Drosophila melanogaster: one gene and its partners. The protein of the gene in region 4 interacts with the protein of the main gene of each other region in a pairwise test. Each region holds a gene or a part of one and is shown on either strand. Other genes may lie near its edges.

What was found.
Region 1: the proteins of l(2)efl (region 4) and CG8219 interact in a two-hybrid assay, tested with the Drosophila melanogaster proteins (one large-scale study listed by BioGRID).
Region 2: the proteins of l(2)efl (region 4) and ValRS-m interact in a two-hybrid assay, tested with the Drosophila melanogaster proteins (one large-scale study listed by BioGRID).
Region 3: the proteins of l(2)efl (region 4) and CG15580 interact in a two-hybrid assay, tested with the Drosophila melanogaster proteins (one large-scale study listed by BioGRID).

The regions. Positions count from the first base shown.
Region 1 is NT_037436.4:6,198,653-6,204,276, forward strand, and holds CG8219 (uncharacterized protein), read left to right. Parts: upstream 1-1,820; 5' UTR 1,821-1,887; coding exon 1,888-1,986; intron 1,987-2,079; coding exon 2,080-2,670; intron 2,671-2,723; coding exon 2,724-3,791; intron 3,792-3,848; coding exon 3,849-4,019; intron 4,020-4,073; coding exon 4,074-4,245; intron 4,246-4,306; coding exon 4,307-4,402; intron 4,403-4,457; coding exon 4,458-4,533; intron 4,534-4,598; coding exon 4,599-4,773; intron 4,774-4,834; coding exon 4,835-4,948; 3' UTR 4,949-5,124; downstream 5,125-5,624. Other genes in the region: LanA (laminin A), read right to left, coding at 5,523-5,624.
Region 2 is NT_037436.4:8,960,728-8,966,404, reverse strand, and holds ValRS-m (Valyl-tRNA synthetase, mitochondrial), read left to right. Parts: upstream 1-1,635; 5' UTR 1,636-1,778; coding exon 1,779-1,872; intron 1,873-1,940; coding exon 1,941-3,694; intron 3,695-3,749; coding exon 3,750-4,199; intron 4,200-4,258; coding exon 4,259-4,888; intron 4,889-4,948; coding exon 4,949-5,005; 3' UTR 5,006-5,131; downstream 5,132-5,677. Other genes in the region: CG5653 (uncharacterized protein), read left to right, coding at 43-1,473; CG13313 (uncharacterized protein), read right to left, coding at 5,510-5,677.
Region 3 is NT_033777.3:6,054,212-6,059,647, reverse strand, and holds CG15580 (uncharacterized protein), read left to right. Parts: upstream 1-2,111; 5' UTR 2,112-2,157; coding exon 2,158-2,468; intron 2,469-2,593; coding exon 2,594-3,439; intron 3,440-3,660; coding exon 3,661-4,240; intron 4,241-4,348; coding exon 4,349-4,843; 3' UTR 4,844-4,936; downstream 4,937-5,436.
Region 4 is NT_033778.4:23,684,148-23,687,399, reverse strand, and holds l(2)efl (lethal (2) essential for life), read left to right. Parts: upstream 1-1,856; 5' UTR 1,857-1,924; intron 1,925-2,014; exon of another isoform or gene 2,015-2,017; coding exon 2,018-2,405; intron 2,406-2,467; coding exon 2,468-2,643; 3' UTR 2,644-2,749; downstream 2,750-3,252. Other genes in the region: St3 (sulfotransferase 3), read right to left, coding at 84-166, 236-367, 523-862, 2,889-3,026, 3,080-3,152, 3,214-3,252. UniProt on the Drosophila melanogaster protein: Vital role in embryonic development.

The DNA of each region.
Region 1 (5,624 bases), on a different chromosome or scaffold from region 4:
GGGTAAAACAAAAGAAAAAGGAAAAAAGGATATAATACAAGGATAACGATAATATTGCAACTGTTACTGATACAAATTTACTGATACACTTAATGATATTCATATGCTATACAAAATTAGGTGTTTTTTTACGCATTGTGAAAGCGAAAAGCAAGCAAATAGGGAAACATTGTAAAATTGAGATTAGGATTTTGTTGAATATCTTATTTATTTTCCATTAACTGAATACAAAAGCAACCATTGACTGATCACTTTTTAAAGTATTATTATATAATTTTTTTTTGTATAGGGACAAGTGTAATTAATGAACTATTATTATTTTCTTCGAACTTTTATATCATTTGTATAGACTCGTGTTTTGCGTAACCTCTATAATTTACGATCTTTGTACAGAACAAATTTTTTACAATTATATGATTAGGTGTAAAGTGTACTACTAAATGAAAACAAAAGTCTTTGAAATTGTCGCGGAACAACTAAAACATACGAAAAATAAAACTAGGGAAAACCAAACTCAGTCAAATACAAAATAAATGGATGATTATGAAGCGTAAGAAGAGTAAGTAAATCTAAGTAATAGTATTACGTAATTATGCAAACCGTGTTTACGTTTGTGTTTTTATTTCGTTTCGAAAATGGGGGAACGTGTGATAATAAAGTAACTTCGGGTCGTTCGTTCGCGTCGCGTTAAACTCAATCAATTTAAAAACTAACAATAAGGGACTTTCGCCCCCGAGTCCCAAATAATAATCGCAATACTTGATAACTTGATAATAATACGGTCTAACTAAAGCGGAAGCATAGCAATTGCTAAAACTGAAACTAAACTAAAATGAAAAATCGTGATTTCGTTGTACCTTAATCCGGATTCATCGCGGAATCCGGTCGCGTTCGCGTGCGTTTGTATCTCTCTCGGGTGATCTTAGTGATTAGCGTTTAAGCAGAAAAAAAAAATGAAAACAAAAAAACTGAATCAACACTACTACAACTACACATAAACATACAACATTAAACATGTACACACCACACATATACAGCAATATGAAATATATTTATAGATTTTATGCAGAGTAGGTTTTTGTTTAAAATATTATTTTTCATTACGATAGGGCAAACCAAAAAAAAAAGTAGGGAACATCAAATAAACTAAATGTTAGGTCAAGCTAGGGCAAGAAACAAATTAAAACAGCAAATCAAAAGTTATTTGTGCAGCATTAGAGAATTTTTTTCTTATTTCTTTCAATATTATCGTGTGTATGCTATTAAATCGATGAAGAGAACATACCAACTGTTTTTAGTACTTTACACAATTATGATATTTAACTTCCGTTGTTTTTTTTAAGTAAATCAAGACCAAGCCTAGTAAATATTGTTTTACCATCTATATCTTCATAAACAGCACGTAAAACTTTTCGTTCATCGAACATTCAACTCTGATAGGTTTATATCTCTAATCGTTTAAGCTTACAACCACTGTCTAGGCTAAATCAAATGTTCTGCAAATGTCTAACGAAATTGAATATATATACGGGCCTATATGCATAAATAACATACGCATATATATGAAATACATGCATGTATGTATAATCCCTACATCAAACTATATGGATTACAGATTATTCTTCTGGAGTTTATATATTTGTTTGGCTAAAAACTCCATTTCAAAATTCAACTATCAAGATTTGTGTAAATTGAAAAGTATATATATGAATAAATATGTATGTATAACAAACATTACCCATCAAGATAATGGATTTTCTGATTTGTATGGGATATGAGTAGGCCGAGAACAGAGTGTCATTCTCTGTCACTTCGGTAGCCCCCTTTGGCAGACCTTACCCCACATTTATCATACAAAACCCGGCTAACTTTTGCATCAGCAGCAAAATGGCATGGACACCACGGGATGAAGGTCTGCAGCAGCTCCTACCGATACTCAAGGACTCACAGTCTCCCGGTAAAGCCACGCAGCTAGCCGTGCAAGAGGTAAGTACCGAAGACCCAACTGATTTAGCAATCCTCATCGGGTGCTTCCCGGACTTCAACAACTATCTCGTCTATGTGCTCACGAATCTGAAGACGGAAAACGAGGCAACGCGCTCCATGAGCGGCCTAATCCTCAAGAACAACATTCGCATGCACGACATCACTCTGCAGCCGGAACACCTGGAGTATATCAAACACCAGTGCCTGCAGGCAGTGGGCGACTCTTCACCCGAGATCCGTGGCACCGTGGGCATTCTGATTACCACCATTGCCAGCAATATCGGTCTGCACAACTGGCCGCAGCTGCTTCCATCTCTCTGCGAAATGCTCGACAACCAGGACTACAATGTGTGCGAAGGAGCATTCAGTGCTCTGCAGAAAATTTGCGAGGACTCTGCCGGAATTTTGGAAAATATGCCATTAAATACAATGATTCCAAAGTTCCTGGAGTACTTTAAGCACAGCAGTCCAAAGATCCGCTCCCACGCCATTGCCTGCATCAACCAGTTCATCATCAACAGATCACAGGCCCTGATGCTAAACATAGACAGCCTCATTCAGAACCTCTTAGACGTGCCCTCGGATAATGACCCAGCGGTTCGCATGAACGTCTGCCACGCATTGGTTGGTCTGGTGGGGGTGCGCATAGACCTTATGATGCCGCACATGTCGCAGATTATTGAGGTATGAAGTTAAGGTTTAGTTTTAAATTTTAACGTAATGAAAAATCTCTGTAGCTCATTTTGTTGCGCTCCCAGGACGCCGATGAGAACGTGGCTCTGCAGGCCACCGAATTTTGGCTTTCATTGGGAAAGCAGAGAAACTGCAGGGATATACTTTCTCCCATTCTATCCCAGTTAGTCCCAGTTCTTGTAAGCCGAACGCAATACACGGAGACGGACATTATTCTTCTGAAGGGCGATGTAGGTGAAGATGACAAGGAGCCTGATAGACAGCAGGATATCAGTCCACGTTTCCACATGTCCCGCGTACACGGTATAAGTAATGAATTGGATGAAAACTCGGACGACGATATGTGGGATTCGGCATTGAACTTGCGCAAGTGCAGCGCTTGTGCTCTCGACATTATTTCGAAAATTTTCGGCGATGTCTGTCTGCCCCTTATGCTGCCCATCCTAAAGGAGGCGCTATTCCACCAGGAATGGGTGATCAAAGAAAGTGGTGTGATGGCCTTGGGAGCTATTGCGGAGGGCTGCATGCAGGGCTTGATCCCACACTTACCAGAGCTGATTCCCTACCTAATTACCTGTCTGTCTGACAAGAAGCCACTCGTACGCTCCATTACATGCTGGACGTTCATGCGATTCCCCAAATGGGTGCTCAACCAGCCGCACGACAAGTACTTGGAGCCTCTAATCGAGGAACTGCTGAAGTGCATCCTGGACTCCAATAAGCGCGTTCAGGAAGCTGCGTGCTCTGCCTTTGTCGCTCTGGAGGAGGAGGCCTGCACGCAACTGGTGCCCTACCTGGAGAATATGCTAAAGACGTTCGTCTTAGCCTTCTCCAAGTACCACCAAAGGAATCTACTGATAATGTACGATGTCGTTGGTCTTTTAGCGGAGTCCGTCGGTCATCATCTGAATAAACCGCAATATATTGACATCCTAATGCCTCCGCTAATGGATAAGTGGAACCTGGTAAAGGACGACGACAAAGATATAATCTATTTGTTGGAGTGCCTATCGAGCATCGCCACTGCGTTGCAGTCCTCCTTTCTGCCCTACTGCGACTCGGTGTATCGAAAGGGCATCTCCATTATTGAGGAGACTATCAACCAGGACATGGTAAGCAACTGTGTTAGCTTCAATGTAAATCTATCAATGAACTCGACTCCTTTCAAGATGTGTAAACAAAGCCAATCAACCGATTATCCTGACAAGGAGCGCATGGTTATCGCCCTGGATCTGGTGTCTGGCTTGATCGAGGGGCTGCAGAGCCTCATAGAGCCACTGGTGGCCAACAGCAAACTTTTGCAGCTGCTCTGCCAATGCATGGGCGACGTTATGCCCGAAGTAAGTTTTACCTAATTAATATACTCGTGTATATGGGATTAAAATACATATTAGGTTCGCCAATCATCGTTTGCCCTGCTGGGTGATTTGAGCGGGGCTTGTTTTTCCCAGGTATACCCCTACACGGCCCACTTTATTTTGATCTTGGTGCAAAACCTAAACCCCAGCGTTGTTGGTGTGTGCAACAATGCAGTTTGGGCCATAGGGCAAATCTGCGTTAAGTTGGGTAAGTTGGCTTGGTTCTCTTATAATGTAACAAAAAAGATTTTTTGTATTTCGCCCCTAAGGTGAGGAAACCAAGCCGTACGTACGCCTTCTGCTTAGCGAACTAATGATCCTGATGAACCGGCAGGACATTCCAAAAAATCTTTCGAGGAATGCGGGTAAGTAATTTGGCCTGATTTAAAGTAATTTATTATTATTATTCTTTTTTTTAAGCAATAACACTTGGGCGCCTCGGAAATGCATGTCCAGATGAAGTGGCTCCCTATTTGCCCGAATTCCTACGCCAGTGGTATGTACACATTAAATGCTTCATTTGCTCATTTTTTAAATTATCCTTTCTTCCACGAAATGAAGGTGCTTGTTATTGCGTTACGCATATGACCACGACGAGAAGTATTTGTCTTTTATGGGAATGTGCCATATGATCAGGGAGAATCCAGGAGGCGTGGTGCCCGACTTCTTATTCTTTTGCGATGCCATTGCCTCGTGGGACAATCCTCCACAGGATCTGCGTCAGATGATTCGAAGAGTAAGTTATTTCCGGAAATTATTAATTTTCGTCTTTCAACAATACTCGTTTGTTATTCTAGATTATCGAAGGCTTTAAGAACCAAACGGGTGCGGAGAATTGGCTAATTTTTTTGGGGAAATTTCCACAACCACTGGCCTGCCGGCTAATCGAACTGTACGACATCGAATACTAATCCGAAGCTATCCAGCCAATTATGTATTGCTTCAATCATCATTCTAATTTTACTAAGTAACCAAAGCCCCAAAAAAAGTCAGCTATTGAGTAATATACGATTTTATATAATCATTTATAATATGAATAATTCAACAAAACCTGAAATATTTTTGTAAATAAAGTCTCAATAATTGTAAAAATGTATGTTACACCATTTAAAACTTATGACATAAAAAAACAAAAGTTTTAGTTTCATTAAAATGTTTATTTTATTGGTTTATTGGAATTACAAAAATGCAAGATTCTCTTAAGGAGTTTTAAAAAGGATATATAAATGTAAATGGCTTTAATAGAATTGGCACGCAGTTTGGCTTATAGTACTAGGAATATATACGACTGGCATCTTTGCTAAGGATCTATTACTTTGAAGACCTTATGACTTTTTTATGACCCGTCGATTTTGTTCGTTTGAAATTTGATCGTTCGTTGTCCTTTGATTAGCAGTTGTCGGCAAAAGAAGATTCTTCCTGGCAGTTTTTCGTAGTCGTTGTCCAAATAAATCATAGGTCCTTAAGTCGTTCCGAAGTTCTTTATTAGTTGAGGGGACAATAGCCCTGCCAAATATCGCCAACGACCATGTTCGGCGTGATGTTGATCATCCTTTGGTTAACCTCCACCTTGCTGATGCAGCCCTT
Region 2 (5,677 bases), on a different chromosome or scaffold from region 4:
TCGTCTGCTCTTTCTGTCGAACTTAACTACCAACGTTTCAAAATGGAAAAATGCCGTGCCTCCTCTAGGATAATCATAATCGGAGCAGGAGTTTCGGGCATAGCCGCCGCCACTCGACTCCTGCAAAACAATTTCCAGAATGTTCAGATCCTGGAGGCGGAGGATCGCATTGGCGGGCGGATCAACACCGTGTATTTTGGTGACAACGTCATCGATTTGGGAGCCCAGTGGTGTCATGGAAAGCAGCAAAATTGTGTATACGACATGGTCAAGGATATGGGTATCCTGCACGAGACAGGCGACTATTACAGTCCCATAAAGAGGGTGAGATCCAACAAGGAGGTGGTTCCACATGAGTTGGCCTGCAGGATTCACGACATTGCTGTGAAGAGCATGCCGAGTGGACCTCACCCGGTTGTGGGATCCTTTGGCACCCACCTGACTCAGACCTTCTGGCGCAAGATCGAGTCCGAGCTACCCCAAGTGAATAGGGATGTGGCTAGTGAGGCCTTGAATACATTTGCGAAGCATGAAAGCTCTATTATTGGTGCGGACAATCTTTTCGAGGTCTCCGTTAGGGAACACATCGAGTACCACGAATGTGATGGCGACAAGCTGCTCCACTGGGGAACGAAGGGTTACCGGCGCTTCCTGCGGCTGCTGATGAAGGTCAGCGCGGATACGCCAGAAGAGCTGGGTCTACTGGAAGGACGTATTCAACTTGATATGAAGGTCATCAAGATTGAGTTGGCGTGCCCCCGTAAGGTAATCCTGCGCTGCCAGGATGGGGATTACTTCGAGGCGGACCACGTCATCTGCACCGTTTCCCTGGGAGTCCTGCAGGAGCAGCACGAGAAACTGTTCGTCCCGCCGCTGCCCGCAGCCAAGGTGAATGCCATTCGCAGCCTCACCCTGGGCACTGTGAACAAACTGTATTTGGAGTATGAGAAGCAACCTCTTCCTGACGGCTGGGTGGGTTTCTTCTGCTTTTGGCTGGAAGAGGATCTGATAGAGCTGCGAAAGACGGAATATTTCTGGGTGGAGGGTATAACCGGTGTACACATGATCACTTGTCAGCCCCGAATGTTGATGGCCTGGGTGAATGGTCCGCATGGACGCCACATGGAGACCCTGTCCGATGAGAAAGTCCTTGAGGGCTTGTACTGGCTTTTCCGAAAGTTCCTCACTTTCGAAATTCCGCCGCCAAAGCGTTTCGTTCGCAGCTCGTGGTTTTCGAATCCGAATTTCCGTGGCAGTTGGAGTTATCGTGGAGTTATGGCCGATGAAAGGAATACGGGCCCCTGGGATCTAGAGTCTCCTGTGTTGGGCGAAGATGGTCATTTAGGCCTCCTTTTTGCCGGAGAAGCGTCTAGCAGGAATCACTTTTCCACCGTTCACGGAGCTGTGGAGGCGGGCTATCGGGAGGCAGACCGGCTCATTGATCATTACACCTCATGCAGTGTCAGTGCCTGAAAAATATATTTTTTTATCGTACTTTTCTTTATGGTTTCTTAATAAAATTGTTCTCTTTTATAAATTAAAAAAAATTACATTGGATCCTGATATTCACATACGTACCCTCTGAGATGTTTTATGTTTCTCTTTTGACAAATCAAATAAATAATGAAGTTTGAAAAAAAATTGAGGAGGAAAGCTCTACCGTTTCTCGTTTGAAATTGGCGCCCATAAGCCGTATATCGATTATCTCCTCAGCTGTTTTTATACCATCACCAATAAGATTACAATTTTTTTTGACATAACATAACACAACATTAAAAATGCAAATAATTGGGAATTGTAGCAGTAAACTGCTCAGACACAAGTACCTGTGCCAGCCAAGGGTGTACTCTCTATACTACAGTACCCTTAAAGGTGCGTTACCTCCAGTTTCATTCAAAACCCCAGTGCCGGCTAAAGAACTCACTTTTTTCCACTTTTAGATGCGGCTAATGAGCTTCCCTTGGCAGCAGGATACCAGCCACAACCAGTGGAAAATGCTTACTGGGAGCGGGAGCATCGCCAGGCAAATTTGCCCAAGGCTTCAGCCAGCAGTTGCAAGCGGGGGACCTATCGCATGCTTCTACCGCCACCAAATGTAACCGGGAATCTACATTTGGGCCATGCACTGATGGCCACCGTGCAGGATGTGATTGCCCGCCAGCGCGAACAGCTTGGCTACCAGGTGGACTGGGTACCAGGCACAGATCACGCGGGTATCGCCACCCAGGTGGTCGTAGAGCGCACGATTGCCGCTTCTCAGGCGAAAACCCGTCATGAATTGGGACGTTCTGCTTTTCTGGACGAAGTATGGCGCTGGAAGGCGGAAAAGGGTGCTGGTATCGTACAGGATCTCCGCCAACTCGGCTGTAAACTGAATTGGCAACGAGAATACTTCACAATGGATGAGCAGCAGGCGCATGCGGTCAACGTAGCTTTCGAGCGACTCTTTGAAGAAGGCCTAATTCAGCGGCGCAACTCGGTTGTCAACTGGTGCACCGCTCTACGTTCCGCGATATCTGATATCGAGGTGGACAGTGTAGAGATCACGGAGCCGGTAGAGATATCCGTTCCAGGCTACGATCACAAAGTACTCTTTGGCAGAATGTACGATTTCGCCTATCACGTAGTGGATGGTGAAGCACTGCCCGATGGTTCGGTTGAAGAGATTGTGGTGTCTACCACTAGACCAGAGACAATTTTGGGTGATGTAGCTGTCGCAGTACATCCGCTGGATCCGCGCTACGCCAAGTACCGAAACATTGATCAGGTTAAGCTCAAGCATCCTTTCCGTGACGACACCATTCCACTCGTTTTCGATATCACCGTGGACCAGGAGTTTGGCACCGGGGCAGTGAAAATCACACCAGCCCATGACAAATTTGATTTCGAGCTGGCCACTCGCCATAAGCTTGAACCTCGCCAGGTCTTTACTGAAACGGGTCTTGTGGTGGATGCCTATTCTGAGTACAAGGGTATTCCGCGCTTCGAGGCGCGAGATCTCATCGTCAATCGCCTGGAAGAGATGGATTTGCTGCGACAGGTGCGCTCTCATACCATGCAGTTGCCCATCTGCTCGCGTTCCAAGGACGTCATAGAGTACATGATATTGCCGCAATGGTTTCTTAAGTGCAAAGACTTGGCAAAGGATGCCTTATCTGAACTTCATAGTGGACGTCTGCAAATCCTGCCTCCGAACTTCGAAACGGAGTGGGAACGCTGGCTACAGGATAGCCGCGACTGGTGCATTTCCCGGCAGTTGTGGTGGGGGCATCAGGTGCCCGCATACGAGGTCATCGACTCCCAGGGAAACAGTCAATGGGTGGCTGCCCTTGACGAGAAGACAGCTAGGCAGAAAGCCATGAGACTTATTGGTAGCGAAGAATTTACATTGAAACGTGATCCGGATGTACTGGACACTTGGTTTTCATCATCGCTGCTGCCTTTCTCCACAGCCGGTTGGCCAGAGGAGAGCTACAAAGAAAGATATCCTTTGGACATAATGCAGACTGGCCATGATATTATCTTCTTTTGGGTGGCGCGCATGATGATGTTGGGTCTGAAGCTGACCGGCGAGGCACCCTTTCAGAGAATTTTGCTAAACGGCATTGTGTGCGATGCTCATGGCCGGAAGATGTCCAAGAGTATCGGCAACATCGTGGCCCCACAGCAGGTGGTTCAGGGCGCCAGTTTAGAGGTAAGTTAGGCCATTCTTGCCAAGAATAAAATTTAACGATATATTACATCTGCAGAGCCTGAAGGCTGGCTTAGAGCAATCGTGCGAGGCGGGCATTATTACGCCTTCAGAGTTAAAGGCCTCCACGATTGGAATGACGCAAATGTTCCCCAATGGCATTCAAGAGTGCGGCACCGATGCTCTACGCTTCACCCTGATGAGCCACAACATCAAGAGTCACTTCATTAGCTTCGATGTGAACGCCTGCCACACCAATAAGCTTTTCCTAAACAAAGTATGGCAAGCTATGCGATTTACCCTCGGCTCAGCCAAGGGACTGGGAATCTCGCTGCATCAGTTTGAGACTCTTGAAGGTGTGAATCTGGGCCTTTGGGATCGCTGGATCGTCGGACGCCTCGCGGAGACCTTGTCTGTCTGCTCGCAGAGCTACAGCAACTACAATTTCCACTTGGCCACAGCAGCCCTGAAGACCTTCTTCTATCAATATCTCTGTGATACTTACTTGGTAAGTTGGTTGTCATTCAATTGTTACTCAGCATCAACAAAAGCTGCTGAAATCGACAGGAAACAACCAAACCTGCGATAGGAAATCGCAGTGCTGATGCCTACATCCATGTGGGCACCCTGACCGCTTGCCTTAGCTGGGGACTGCAGGCCATGGCCCCGTATGCTCCCTTTGTGGCTTCCGAATTACTGCAGCATGTGCCCCTTAATATAGAGCTTAAACTGTCCGACTACAAGGATGAAAAGTTGGAGGAAGAGGTCAACGAAATAGTGAACATCTGCCATAATGTGCGACAGGTTAAGAGTCGCAATGAGATTAGCAAGCGCCATCATCCGCAACTCAGTTTGTTTGCCCAGAATACGGACTCGGAAGGAGTGCTTCGTCGTCATTTGCCGCAGATCAAGGTGTTATCTCGCTGCGAAGACGTGGAACTGGAATTGTTTGACGAGAGCTCAAAGATTTCGAAGCAACTCAGCTACTTCTCAACGGCAGGAGCACTCTGCTCCTTTGGCTTGAAATTGAGCGATGGATTGGATCTGACGCCGGAAAAACGAGACGAAATGCAGAAGGCCAATGCCAAAAAACTGAAGAAGTTGGTCACCGAATTGCAGCGGTATCGCATGCGCCTGGATAACGAAGCCTTCCAACTGATGGCCGACAAGAAAGTTAAGTCACATTTCGAAAATAAGGTAATGTGCTATAAAGTTTTGATTCCATGCGACATTATTTTTATTGGTTTTTTATTGTAGGTCAAAGAGTTGGAGGCGGAAATCAACAGTCTCACTCGGCTGGCAGTATTGTCCTAATGCACTGCATAACAATTAGCTTAGATAATGCCATTGTTATTGACTTACATCCGCCTAAGTCATCTGTTTGTTTAGAATTAAAGACTGCAATATTTATTAAATGCGCAACGTACCTTATAAAGGCACTAAGCATAAAAATACTCAACTACTTGTCACTGATCTAATTCAAATATCAATTTCTGTTCGGAAAATTTAGACATTTCCGTTTTAAACCGCTAACTCTTTTGTCACCAAAACCGCAAAATACTACAGATATTTTTTTTGAATTTGTTTTAAATTCCTATTAGATCATTTTTGCTAATTGCTAAGTTCACGAAATCAAACGAATATTGGTTTAAATCGGAAATGGTTATTGTTTTTACACTTTCGTATGTTAATTAATGTTTAAATTTACCAGATGCTTCGTCCAAATTCCTCGAAAGGATCCCCAATTTCTCTTCTCCAGATATGTATCACGGTTTTTTGTTATGCTATGATTATCAAGTCTTTTATTGTATACCATATTTACAGAATTGGACACGCGTTCTGCGAATACGACAAGTAGAAGCCGCGATTCGATATGTCCATATCCTCATTACCATCGGTGACTGTGTAGACAACGAATGGCTTCGCCGATGTGGTCGTGGATACCAGACCCAATCCACAAAACCGATCGCTGGGCATCGCAACTCC
Region 3 (5,436 bases), on a different chromosome or scaffold from region 4:
GAAAGTTTCGAACCGCAGCCATGAAAGATGCAAGGCGTCTGGCCGTGGCCTACCTGCACACTCAGCTGCGATTGGAGCCCTACATTTCACCCAGTACCTCTGCCTCTGACGTGGGCTTTGTAAGGTCAACAAGCCAAAAATGCTTAAAAAATGCAACCGGCCAGGAAAGCGGCAAATGCAAAAGCAAAGTTAGGGTTAAACTCTTTTGTGGCATTAGCGAAACCAGAGAAGGGAAACTCCATCGTGTCGCGACTGAAACTTACATTGTATTTCTATTTGTGAGGCAGCGTCATTTCCGGTTTAGATCGTCCCCGGAGCCAGTGTTGCAAACATGTTAAGCAATCGCGCCAACTTTTTGGTCTTTTCGCCTCAGGGGAAAGGCAAAACTCTGCCGTGAGACGAACGGCAGCTCGTAAATTTCAAAAATTTGAAAACAACAGCGCCGGCAACATATACTTTTCGCGCGCTGGCCGAAATTATTTTAAATCACCTGCTGCCCGGCATTTATCATCAGAGCCAGTCGGACAAGTCGGACTCCCTAACGACCGCAGCCAGTCTTCAGCTCAACTCCCAGGACGACTACAACGGCAGCGAGATTTGCGAAGAGCACTTTATTTTGGCCAAGCCATTGCCACGCCTCCGTCCCCAAGCCCCCATCCACACTCCATCCACGCAGTGAAGTTTTCTCCACCTAACACCGACCCACTCATAATGTCCGCGCTTCTGATGTTATTTTGCCATTTTCGCTCTGGTTTGCGGCTGGGGGAAAACTGTTTTGTTATCACGGTGATAAATGGAAAATTATTTTGAATCGAGCAACTACTTAAAAGAATTCCCAAAGGTTGTAATAAATTTTGGGGCACACACATACACACATACATTCACGTCCGAGAAGGACATGCGAGGAAGGACAAGTTGGTAAGACCGAATCCGAGTTGAGCTGGCTTGGTAATGTCCTTCCAGATAAAAAGGTGATTGACGAAGCGAAAGCAAAAGTCATGGTCGAACTTCCACTTAGCAATGCAGTTGTCGTTCACAGAAAAGGACCAACGACGATGTCGGTGGTTGTGTTGTGTGTAGTGGTGGGCTGGATGGCGAATTTCGTCCTGGCATGCACTTAATTTGTACTGGGAGCTGGGGACCTGGGGCTCCTCCACTTGCTCTGAAGAAATACTCCAAGTTGAGCATATTCACAAAGCTTTGCAGAGCCAGGAATGCTATAGGTGCACACCGTGCCAAATTATTTCCTTACAACTTTAAAACTAAACATTTTATTATATGATACATCCTGGAATATAGCCCACATAGGTAGGAAGTAACAGCTCTTCCGGGAAAATATTATAGCTTATCAACAGTACCACTATAATTAAATAATAATAAATATGCATTAAAAATATAAATATTTTATATGTCCTGGTCACAAGAATTGATACAAAGTCGTTTGGTTTTCTTAAGTGCAGCGTCTTTGTTGGCAGGAGCAGCTACATGCACTATGGAAACCACTTCCAAACTGGGGGCCATCTCCGATCCAGGCACAAAGGCACCCGGACAGGACGAGCACACTCAGCGAGCAGCTCTAACAACATCTATTTTTATTTCATTAGGTAGAAAAATAGCCGGCAAGGTGAAGCTCCTGGCAGCTTCGCCATCAAAACAAAGCGCTGAATATTGGCCAAAACGGAATGGAACGGGGCGGGCGAAGCGGGGCTGGCCACAAAAAGAAACTGCTCTTCGCTTCTCAATTAGGTTAGCTTAATTTAAATTTGCTTCGAGTGCTTGGCAAGTGCTTGCGAGACATTAGCAGCAAATATTAGCAAACGCTTAAAGAGCGCCGTAAGTGGAAAATATCTTAGGCGAGTTTTCTTAAATTAGCCGTTGTAAACATTTGTTACGCACTCGGGTCGGGATTTAGAGTGTCTTAAATGAAAACCGGACAGTTTTTAATGAGGAAGTACGTTTGGCAGGTGCGAGATAACTAAAACATAAAACATGTTCATTGGAGTATGAAGATAGACAAACGGCACTTCCATAAATGTATTAAGGTGCACTGGAACACATGGGTTAAAACCATGTTATACTTATCGATCACTTTCAGAAACAAACTTCAAAAAAAAAGACTTTCAACGCACAAACAAACATACTCGAAAATAACTCCATATGGACTTTGAAGATGATGAGGAGGTTGTGCAACCGCACTATGCTCAGAAATTCCGGGCTCCCACCGATCCCCTCCTTCTGGCCACATATGAGCTTTTTAAGCCCTCTCATCAGACCTTGAACCTATACAGCGAACGGAATCGCGAGATTTTTGCGGAGGCCTTTATAGAGGGAAACTTGAACACTTTAGTCAATCTGAGCGTAAAGAGTCTGGCCAAGCTGGGCATTCGAGGCATATCTCCAACTTTGCAGGCGAGTCCCCAGCTTATGAGGATATTTTACGACGCACTGGATGTGGAGCTGCCTTTGAGGTATGTAACGAAACGGATACAAGTATTTTCATTACATAACCTATAATTTAACATTTGACGCCACTAACTTTATATCGTTATTTACTATGGTTACAAACCCTAATAACTTTATATATATTTCAAAGAGATTGCTATTTGATCGAGGATCAACGATTTTGGCGACGCGTCGTACTAAGCAAGACTTTGGACAAAACGTTGCACCTGAAGCGCTGGAACGAGTTCGACTGGAAGGCTGAGGGTGTGAGCCGGAAGTTTGTGGAGCAGGTTGAATCATGTCCTGTGAACGTGAAGCCGCAGAGAAGGCTGGCTCAGTTGGCTGAAATTGTTTGGCAGTATGTCAACTCCATGCACATCCGCAAGCTGCAAGCTCTGCCCGACTATGCCTTCATTAAGCACTTGGAGAGCGAGCCTGAAGAGGATATATCCTCGGAGTCATCCGACGAGGAGGAGATATCTAGCGATGAGCCGGATACGGAAATGGACGAGGGCGAGGAGGAGCACAAGTCTAGTAGTTCCAGCAGCGAGGCAGCTATTACTTTCTGGCGTGCGGAAACCGAGAACGAGGACACAATTCGCCGGAATGCGCGACATCTGCGCAACGCCAACCGCCAGCAGGCTCGGGATGCCATTGCTAGGAAACGGGAGGATCGCAAGGAGCGCAAGAGGAAGCGCCAGGAGAAACTGGACGCCTTGAAGAATGCGGATCAATCGGGCAAGAAAAAGAAGAAAAAGAAGAAGGAACCGCCCATTCGAGACGTGTTCAGCATAAACGTTGCTCCAGAAGAAGGTGATGACGAGGACACAAAACCGGACAAGCGCAACAAGCAGCTGCTGCTGGAGCGGATCAAGCGGTATGACTATCCGGAGGACCATTGTCATCACATTGATCTGGGATTTGTACGATATTTTGAAAATATGATGTCTCTGACGCTGGAGTTTTTGGGACCACCTGATGTAAAAGACTATCAAAGGTAAGCTCTTAAATTAGAATGTTATGGTAAGAAACAACATCGAAGAAGTGAAACGTGCTGTACACGATTTGTATAACATGTTTTCTCTGAGATAAATGGAACCAAATAAATACATGTGAAGTAGAGTTCTAAAAGCGCCAAGAGTCTACAGCTGCATCGCCTACCACCAGCATTTAAATTAAAATTGCTAGCTTAAACTTAACTTAACTTGTACCTTACAGCCGTTATATGAAGTTCTCAGACAGTGATATGGTTCGTCTTAGCAAAGGTCTGAAATACTTACCGAGCCTCAAGACCTTCAGGCTTCGAAACAGTCGCCTGAGTATGAAGAAGTTTCGTATCCTGACCCGTGCCCTTCAGAACTTAGACACCCTTGATGAGGTGGATTTTGGTTATGACCAAATGACGGATGAGTGCAGCGAAGGCCTGGCCTATTTGCTAAAGCGCCCTTTGATGTACCGCAGTATCCAGCTGGAACACAACAAATTGGGCGCCAATTGTGCAATTGTGCTGGGCGAGGCGTTGAGCCAATCGCAAGTGGGGGTTTTGGAGTATCTGGGCCTGGCTCACAATCCGCTTAATGAATTGGCCCTGCATTCGCTCATAACGTGTATTATCGGAACCCCCCATGTGTGGGCCCTCAACATTTCGGGGATCAACACCACCCTGGGTTCGTTTTCCCGTGATATAGGAACCCTCCTGCGCAGCCACACTCCTCTGATGAGCCTCGAAATGGCCGCCATCAACATTGGCATCTCGCAAGGGAATCAAATACTGAGATCCCTGGAAAAGAATACCCGAGTAAGTATAACATTGAATTAGGTTGGATCGCTGATAATGACCACTTTTGCGAAAGGGGTGCTGAAGATCATTTTTAACTGAGTATTGAACTTACATTCCTATCCTAAGATCCTATACGCCGACTTCCGGGAATGTGAGCTGAGCTTCGACCAGGAATTCGAAGTGGACATGATAGTGCGTCGGAATAACTACATTCATGAAAACCTCCACCACGGCGAGAATCTGTGTAAGGTGGTCAAGGAGCGCCGCCATCCGATTGTCCAGCGAATCGAGGAGGATTTCGCCCGGCGGAAGGGGTGCACGGAGGTGCGGCCGAAGTTCTCGAGCTCCAGCAAGGAATCCATTCCGGAGGTGGTCGTTGAGAAGAAGGAGGTCGAGGAGGAGGGCGACATCTGGGCAATGTTGGCTCGGTGGAACCAGCCGACAGCGCCTGAAGTGAGGGAATCGCACACTTCAAAGGATTCGCACCCCTCTCAAAATGGAAAGACAGAACCATTTGTTTTCGAACCCAACAAGTTCGATCTGGACCAGTTCCGGAAGTCTGTCTTTCTGCCAGGCCCTGGCAATCGCTTTTTCTACCTGCAAAGGAACAAAACTCCCTAATTTGTAGCCCTTTTCACCACCTACAATTGTACATTGCATAACATTGTACTCTGAGTATATTTTCAAAGCATTAAACGCACCACTTAGCAGTCCAACATAGTCCCTATCATTCTCGAGGGCTTGGAATGTCATTCGACCTAATGGTCACTTTAAACCTTCGCCATAAAGTGCCGCGCTGGCATAAACTGAGATCTAATTAAGTCGCTGGCAACGTGTTCGCCTTGGAGCCACGCCCACAATTCCGGGGGCCACACCTCGACCGAAGGTCATTGCAGAGCACAGCAAGTGCAACAAAGTTGAGCAGTTTGCATTTAAGCAGCGGAGATTTGGGCAACAGTGTCTCCAATTTAATGCCACTTCCCCTGGCTACTTCTGCCTTCCAAGCTCCACAGTCAATTCCATAAAATCGTGGGCGTACACTCGGAAAAAATAGTATAATTTCCATGTTGATAAAACAAACTAGAAAGCACTTAAAACACCAGTCCTAAAAACAGCATGTTAAATCCTTTTAACACTTTAGTTAAAAGAATTTTTCAATTCATATTACTTCATTTGAAGACTTAATTTCCAATGTTAACTAGCGGTGATTTTAT
Region 4 (3,252 bases):
AATCGGGGGAAGCAAATCTAATTCGGTTTCGGTTTCCCCCGTCGCATTGCATTCCGGGCACTCGGCCGGAAACGGAAACTTACCGGCAGTAGGAGAACTGGGGGCACTTGCAGCGGAAGAGGCTCTGGAACTCCTCCTTACACACCTCGTTCCACCAGCAGGTGCGCTAGAATGCATTGGAAACGAAAGGGTTATCTCGCTGCCACTATGTACCACCTGTTATCCTTTGGGGCACCTCGGTCATGTAGCCGTGGACACTCTGATCCGAGTAGCTTCGCTTCGAGAGATGCGCCTGCACGGGGCAGAAGAGCAGTGTCACCACCAGAAGCAACAGTCGTGACGTCACGGGCAGCGAGTGGGGGGCGAACTGTAATGCAGCGAAGAAAGTGAAACCCAATCCGACATATAACCCCAAAGTGCCTCCGAAAGCACTACTACAACTACTTTCCACTGCATACTCGTGAACACCTTTAGGAGCTAGGAGTTGCACTCCTGTGATTTTTGTTTATTTTTGGAGCTCACCATCGTACAGCTTCCTCTGTTGACGTCTTGACTTATCCTCCGCTCCCAAAGTACAGTGAACACTTCACGTCCTGCGATGAATGTCGCCTGTTTTCCGTTTTTGGCCTCCCTTTGGGGCGGTGGCGTCGGCATCTCGGCATCTCGGCTGCCTTGCATAAGCATAAGTATTGGCCCCGTTCGCCCTCGGCTTTCAGCTTTCACTACTTTCACACGCACACACAGCCATCGAGTGCATGCACTGCTGCACTGGTGTTGGTGTGCTTTTGGCCCATTTCGAAGGGTGATTGCCTCACTGTTTGTTTGGCTGTGTTGGGTACACAATCCACTACAGGGCCAGTCCCTAAAATGTTAGGAACAGAAAACATATATGAGATTGTATGAAAATGTACCATTTTAACAGGTGCAGCAAATGAAAAGAAGATACTTGTTTGTAACTAGCTGAACTTGTACTTGCATCACTGGTAAATTAGATATGAACACTAGAGGGCGGCACTTTGTTTTTGATATAGTATATGTTCGCGATGATATATTTTAAGAAGTAAAACTTTATGATTGATGAGCTACTAATTCAAGCAAATTGCTGGTATAATTTTCAAAACAATGCTTGAAAATTCCTTTGTTTTGAGCGACGTCATCTCTTTCGTCTGATAGAAAACGCACGCGACATGACTCAGCAGAGGAAAAGCGAGAAATAAGAAAAAGTGGCAGATGCTTAAAATAGTTCATAAAGTCATTTAGTGGCCAAAGTATTTTTATATTAGCCGCGTCAAATCAACACTCTCAACAGGTAGAAAATTATGAAAATTCCTATATATCTAAAGAGTAAAGGGGGCGTAAAAGTGTCGAGAAATTCTTCTGGCATTTTCCAGAACACATTTTGCACTTTGGATTTTCGGTTTTCGAAAAAATATTATACAGAATAGAATTTGCATACAAACTGCGGGAATTTGTGTAGGCTTGCTTTTTAATACTCTGCATACATACATATGTGTGTTGCTTCTGGAACAAACAATCGGAAACACTATCATTTGAACTCCGAAAAAGGCCTGTCTGAGCAGTGACTAATGGAATCTTCTTTGGGTCACCATCATCGTAATCACAGGCTGAGTCTGAGTCTTCAAATCCCACGACTCCCACGGTAACAAACAAAACAGGCTGAAATCGCTCGCAGATTCGCACCAAAGATATGTGTTTGGCATATATAGGTTCAGAATGTTCTCTAGAATGACGCTCGTTTAAATTTAGATGGGAAATAAATTTTCATATTTTTAGCCCGTGGGGGAAGATGTAAACAATCTGTTGAGGGTATAAAATCGTGTGAGTGCTCGAGGAGCTCCATCAAAATCGCAGCAGCCGCGAATCGAAGCAGACGCGTTTATCCAAGTGAATTGAATCTAAAAAGGTACGAGGAAGGACCAAGCCAACGCGGAATTTATTGAACAGTGAAGAAGTGAAGTGATTAGCTCACTATCGTCTCGTTTCTTGATCAAAGCAGATGTCCGTAGTGCCACTGATGTTCCGTGACTGGTGGGATGAGCTCGACTTTCCAATGCGCACCTCGCGCCTCTTGGACCAGCACTTCGGTCAGGGACTGAAGAGGGATGACCTCATGTCCTCCGTGTGGAACTCCCGCCCCACAGTGCTGCGATCGGGATACCTGCGCCCCTGGCACACGAACAGCCTGCAGAAGCAGGAGTCCGGTTCCACCCTCAACATCGACAGCGAGAAGTTCGAGGTCATTCTGGATGTGCAGCAGTTCTCGCCATCCGAGATCACCGTCAAGGTGGCCGACAAGTTCGTCATCGTGGAGGGAAAGCATGAGGAGAAGCAGGACGAGCACGGATATGTCTCCCGCCAGTTCTCCAGACGCTACCAGCTGCCAAGTGAGTCCGAATTCCATCAACAAAATAGGAAGTATGCTAAACGTGTATGATCCTTCCACTAGGTGATGTCAACCCCGACACGGTCACATCGTCCCTCTCCTCCGATGGCCTGCTGACCATCAAGGCGCCAATGAAGGCGCTGCCTCCTCCGCAGACTGAACGCCTTGTGCAGATCACACAGACTGGTCCCTCCTCCAAGGAGGACAACGCCAAGAAGGTGGAGACCTCCACCGCCTAGGACTCAATCCTTTTGTACCGCCTTCAGTGTTAGTTAGTTTATGTCTACGTGTGCCTTATATATTGGACTCTACATATTTTATATCAATTAAAACGAATCTTTAGATAAACATTTGAAGAACAAGGTGTTTGGTAGGTCAAACAGCTTGACCTTGCTTTATTTGCTCTCCTCTCTCGCTGTTATTTACTTCCGAGCTAAACCAAAAGATACAACATTATCTTGATTATTCTCAATATGTATCTTACTGATCTTTCAGGAGCAGTAGTTCGTCCAAAGTCACACCGTTCTTCGCAAGAACCTCTTGTATCCGGACATTGGCCTTCTCAATTTGTTCGGGCTTCAATTCGTCCTTGTAGCCATTGACATCCCCACGTCTCACGAATCTAGAGGATTACAAGTGAATGGTTGTTCGGAAAACTATGGGACTTTCTCTTACGGGTGCATTTCTTTCCCAGCATTTTCGTGTTGAACTTGGGCCAACTCCCACAGATGATTCGTGGTGGGATTTTCTGAAAAGAAAATTCGTTTAGCTCAATAAGATCATTGTTTCGGCATAGGCTTCTTGCATACTCTTCATTTCCGCGAAGGACAAATGCTTTAGCAGTTTCT